2 linked regions of the Saccharomyces cerevisiae S288C genome follow. The protein of the gene in region 2 purifies or fractionates together with the protein of the main gene of each other region. This does not show direct contact. Each region holds a gene or a part of one and is shown on either strand. Other genes may lie near its edges.

The links.
Region 1: the proteins of KSH1 (region 2) and TVP23 purify together in Saccharomyces cerevisiae (affinity purification with a luminescence readout, with the first as the bait; one study listed by BioGRID). This does not show direct contact.

What each region holds. Positions count from the first base shown.
Region 1 is NC_001136.10:612,905-615,777, reverse strand, and holds TVP23 (Tvp23p), read left to right. Parts: upstream 1-1,773; coding exon 1,774-2,373; downstream 2,374-2,873. Other genes in the region: AFR1 (Afr1p), read left to right, coding at 1-1,490; RRP8 (25S rRNA (adenine645-N1)-methyltransferase), read right to left, coding at 2,527-2,873. UniProt on the Saccharomyces cerevisiae protein: Golgi membrane protein involved in vesicular trafficking.
Region 2 is NC_001146.8:585,896-588,670, forward strand, and holds KSH1 (Ksh1p), read right to left. Parts: upstream 926-2,775; coding exon 707-925; downstream 1-706. Other genes in the region: EFM6 (putative protein-lysine N-methyltransferase), read right to left, coding at 1,212-1,952; FAP1 (Fap1p), read right to left, coding at 2,368-2,775. UniProt on the Saccharomyces cerevisiae protein: Involved in the early part of the secretory pathway.

The DNA.
Region 1 (2,873 bases), on a different chromosome or scaffold from region 2:
AAGAATTAACACCTTATCAACTGCAGCGCTCTAAAATGAAAAGAAGCTTTCAATTTCCCAATGGCGAAATATACAAGCCAAAACTTGATGGAAAATGCACCCACAGCTTGAAAAAGCCTGAATTAAATTCAAGAGACTCTTCTTTATTCAAATTCAGCGAGAAGAAAGGTCGCAATTTATCAAAAGATTTTGTGGGGCCTCATAATGGGACATCAGTCATACATATTCCTCCCAATGATACAGGCTACGGTGTAAATAGCTTGGAGCTGAACACTTCAGTTCCTTCAACAATAAAAAGTTCGGTTTCATCAACCTCTCCGATATCTGCTGTTAATACCCTGACCAGCTTGCCAGAAAGTCAAACTGATGATGATGACGGTTATGAAAATAAAACTGTAACTATATCTTATTGCTTCGAAAATACGGTAAATGAAAAACATGGTAGCCATATAGAAAAATTGGATTTATCAACTAAGGAAAAAACTAAGCCAACAACTAATTCAGGCCTATTTGATAGAAAGAAAAAGACTATTCTGGGCACTGAGAAATATAGATGTATAAAGTCACAATCGAAGTTGAAACTGGGTTCTGTTTTGAAGAAATTATGGCGTACTTCAGGAAACTCGAATACAAAGCATGGAAAAAAGGATACAAAAAGAAGGAGAATTCCTATCGATGATATGGTTACGCATTCTGATGGAAATTCTGAAGCTGAGAATGATATTGAATTAATGGATGCAAATCTGGACGGCATTGAATTTGACGACGACGAAACTCTAATGGATACAGATTCAATTTTTGATGATCTGTTGTCCAAGGAAAATGATAAATACGATTTGAGGCGAAGGCAATTAGAAATACGACAAAAGCTCCACGAGACCTCGCACAACGACGATGGCAAGGTTTCTTTTCGAGATACCGAAAAGCATAATGTCAATGAAGGTTTGATCGACAAGACCATAATCGAAGAATTTTCAAAGCTCGGTGAATATATAATCGACACGAGAAATCAACCACCACCAAGATCGTCCAAGAGGCCTTCATTAGATGACAATGAATCTGCACGATACTTCTACAACATATCGACAGATTTGCGACAGTCTCTGTCAGGTCCAATAAGCTTACCAATGCATGTTGGGAACGACATGGTAAATAGGTTGAGAAATGACTGGGAGTATATCAGATTCGAAGATAGAAGGAATTCGCTGCCAGATTCCTCATTTGATAAAGTCGAAACACCTCCAAAACCAATAAAAAAAGATGTCCGGTTTGCAAAAGAAGTATGTTTAGCAAGCACTTGGTCATCGAATGCATATGAGAGAGCTAATCCGGAATTCATTATGAATCGCCACAGATTGTTGTGGATGATGAAAGTACATCCAAGCATGAATAGTGCCATGAATGAGATCAAACTTGAACTTAACTCTTACAAAAAAAATGAGATGGTTGTCCATGAGAACAGCAAGTGCTTTACACATTATTTAATTTGAGTTATTAACGTAACATAATCCAGTTTATTTTTTGCAATAGAAGGCGTCATACATATTTATATATCAATGTATACATTCCATTCCAGTTACTTCTTTTGCATCTTGCTTCCTGTTTACCTTGACCTCGAACCTATTATTTGTCCGCAATGCGCCTTTGGGTGAAAAGGGATTTCGTTTCCATTTTAACTGTACATAATGTAAATGTAGAAAAGCGTGGTTCTTAAAGGATTTACGGTTCAATACGCTTTTATAAACCTGCTGGTGCTCTAATTACGAATGAAACATGGACCAGGCAAGAAATTTCTACAACACAATTTTAAAATCGTCGCACCCGTTGCTACTATCATTTCATCTGGCAGGTAAGGCAGTTCCCATTGTATTTTATATCATAGGATCAATGTTTTTGAATTTCACACCTCAATTCATCACTGTCGTTCTTTTACTTTCTTTTGACTTTTACTTAACAAAAAACATTACAGGTCGGAAACTGGTCCAATTACGCTGGTGGTATGATTCTACAGATGTGAACAAAGATTCTAATTTTACTTTCGAATCATATAAGCAATATGCGCCGGGCCCACCAATAAATGCCATCGATTCTAAGTTATTCTGGTGGTCGATGTATGTGACACCCGTAATCTGGGGTGTCTTCGCTGTGTTGTGTCTTTTAAGACTGAAAATATTCTACCTGATTTTGGTCATTGTTGCAATGTGTCTGACCGCCTGGAACACGTATGGATTTCGTTGTTGCGATAGATGGGAGCCCAATAGTGGACAATCTGACGGTCAAGATACTAATAATTGGTTCGCTCTTCCTTCTGTTCCGGGCTTTGAAAATCTTTCAAGGCTGGCTAATATCCAATCGTTTTTCCAGAGACAATAAAACCTTGTCCCTCATGTGAACATTGTGGAGTACTTCTTCTAGATGATTTTTACTTTACGCAATGTACTACAGGAAAAGAATACAATTATATGTATAAATATAGTATACAAAAGAAAAAACAATATTAAAATATGAAAATGACGGATGAAGTCGTTATCTTCTTTTATAAATACAGGGCTTCAAGAGCCATTTTCCTTCGGCAATTTTCCGTCTTTTCTTTTCTAATTCTTCCTTCTCAGTTTCAACTTCAATAAACTTTTGTCTTCTTTCCAATTTCTGCCTTCTCTCTTCAATAATCTCCGCAGGTGGCTTGAAAAATTCGAATCTTGTAAACATCTTATTCTCGTCGAAGGTCTTTTTGTGAAAAAATCCCATCAGCTTCAAAGCGTCTACAAATTCATTACCTTTGCCGTCACTAAACCTTGATTTAATTTCTGCGATCCATAATTCACCCCTTGGCGCTAAAATCCTATAAGCTTCTTTTATGAAATCGAGGAAAT
Region 2 (2,775 bases):
AGCTTACTATTCTTGGTCCATGGATTCACCCCTTTTTATTTTTTTAACAGTTTGTTGTTTACACTACTTTTTAGCAGTGTAAAACTTTTGCATAGTTAAATATGCCGAACTGATCTAATAAAAAGTCTGAATAACTCAGATGAGTTATTTATTGGTAAACTTGTGTAAGAAGAAGATGGAATAGTGAATAATTCATCAAATGATGAAATACCAATGCAACAGAGTCAAGCTCTGAGTTTCAAAAAGAAACATGGACGAGATTGCTTTTTTATTACTGACCATGATTATTCATTACTTACCATTGTTCCTCATTCTATATAATTGATTGGGCACCACGTAAATTCTTGAGCCTTTTCGGTAGTATTCAATCGCAATATGGGGTAGTTTACGGAAGTGCTGTAAATGATGTCTAAAATGAACAACTATGCGTCCTTATTGTGACAATGAATTCCCTTCTTAAATCTCTATAGAGGTCGAATAGATGAATACTCAACACAAAACACTATAAAATAAAAAAAAATACAAAAGTGTTTATATTTTTGCTGTGCGTGCTAGCTCATAGCACCCTTACTTGTACGCTATCAGACGATAGAATTAAAGAGACACTTCGTCTGAATCCACTTATACTCTTTGTTTTAAAAGGTACTGCACCTTCTATGACCTTGATTTGCGTAACTTTAAATCCATATGACTAAGTATCTTCCAATCAGCTGTTAAATTGACTGATGGCCATCAAAATACATGCTAAACTAACATATGGACTGGCCCTTTCACCAACACGTGCCATTTTCCAGAAGGCCCCCAAAACCTCATGATTTTTGTAACGATCTAGGAGAGACGGCCACTGCCCATGAACATAAGAACATGAACAAATCAGTAACAATATCACTTGCAGAAGAGAACGAAAATTAAATAATGCAGACATATTCTGTCGTGGAAAAAGGACGCAACTTTGCAAAGTAAATCGATCCGGCTCTCTAGTTATTTTGCAAACGATGTTTACCGCTGTTCTGTCTTTATCCTTGAGTTGTCGTTGCTCACTCTATTGAAGATCAAAATTTCGCTCAAGAAGAGCAGTCCCACCATGCGTACACCACACTACAAAAATGAATGTTATATCGTTTTTTCATGAATTACAAATGTCTATCGAAAAGTTCATTACTAAATATAATAAGATCAGGATCATTAAGAGATAAATTCACTGTGTCAGGTTACTTCCTGATAAGCTGAAACAAGTGGGTTCTTTCCTTAAGATAATGTTCAAATTTACTAAAATCTGTAATTTCAAGAACGTCAAAATTTCTTTTAATCTTGTTGAAAAAATGTTTATCAGCTTTTCTTCTCTTCTTGTAAGCCATCAAGATTACAGGTGGGTTTATGCAGTGAGTGAGATCAAGTAGTGTTTTTTCTAGTAATGGAAAAGCTTCCTCGAGATACACACAATCAGCTGCCAAAACTAGATCAACGTTATTTGCTTGCATAGCACCTTCTTGAGGTGAGAAATCTGCCGACAGCGGCTCACCCCACCAAAGTTCCCTCGCAAGAACTTCATACTGAACTTCGTCCAGTTCTATATTTCTTTTCAATAGTGGTATCAACTTGTCAATGTCCGTAACATATACTTTAGTGCCATCGTGGAATGTGTTTTTTTCCAACAACCCCACGCACAATCCAACTAAACCTGTACCACTACCCAATTCTAAGACTTTTTTAAATTGTTTCGTACCATTGACCGTCTTACTTAGCAGATGGTCAACTGATTTCTCGAGTATGTACTCGCACAACAGTTCGCCAGCGATCCAGACTTTACCGCCACAACCACTTTCACCGCCATCTTCACAAATTTTCAATGCAGGCAATAATTTTCCACCGAAGGAAAGGTCTGTTTGACCGAGATGCTCCTTTGGCCTAGGAACAACTAGATCTCCAAACCCACCAAATATACTCTCCATACTCAATACCTCACTAGTCGCGTTTTTATAACGTTCTAGGGAAAATTATGGGCCATTTTTTTACATAGAGCCTGCTCATCATAACTTTTGAATTATTTAAATACGAAGAATTACTTTCAGTGTTTGGGTGTGAGGGACTTTTCGTTTGGTCAAGCCAAAAAAGCTTAAGAGAAAAGAAAAATCTCTTCTGGTTTTACTTGACTAGGTTTCCAAATTATAATATCCGTATTATTAACGTGACACTCAGTATTCTCCATTCGTTTACGGGAACGTTGATATGTAAACATATGCAGATCCTCGTATTTTAGCAACGACAGGGAGAAACAAGAAATGAGATAGGATGAAAAAAAATAAAAGTTAGATATTTCTATTTAATTAGAATTCCGCGTAATAAATAATGACACGCTATTATAGTTCATGTATTATTATCCATTACAGGACTATCCTCTTGAATTACGGGCGTATCCAACCTTCTTTCAAGTTCTTCTTCAGTTGAACACAACGAAATGGAATCGGCCAAAAATGCCTCTTTGGCCATAAAATCGAAGTGTCCAACCAAAAGCTCCATGTCACGTTCGGTATTCACGGATGCTGTTTCGTAATTTTCAGGATACACTAGTGCTGTTTTGCCATCATCAAGGATTAGGTATTGAGGATTCACTACTAACGTATGCTTGAGATGTGGTTCAAAAAATCTCCTTAGATCTTCGGCAGTATTTCCAGCAACCAAATTTTGAACCAAAAAACCATTTTTCTTAGCCACCTCTACTTTAGGTTCCGTATCTTGAACCTCGAAGTTGATTAGTTTAGCTGTGGTGCGAGC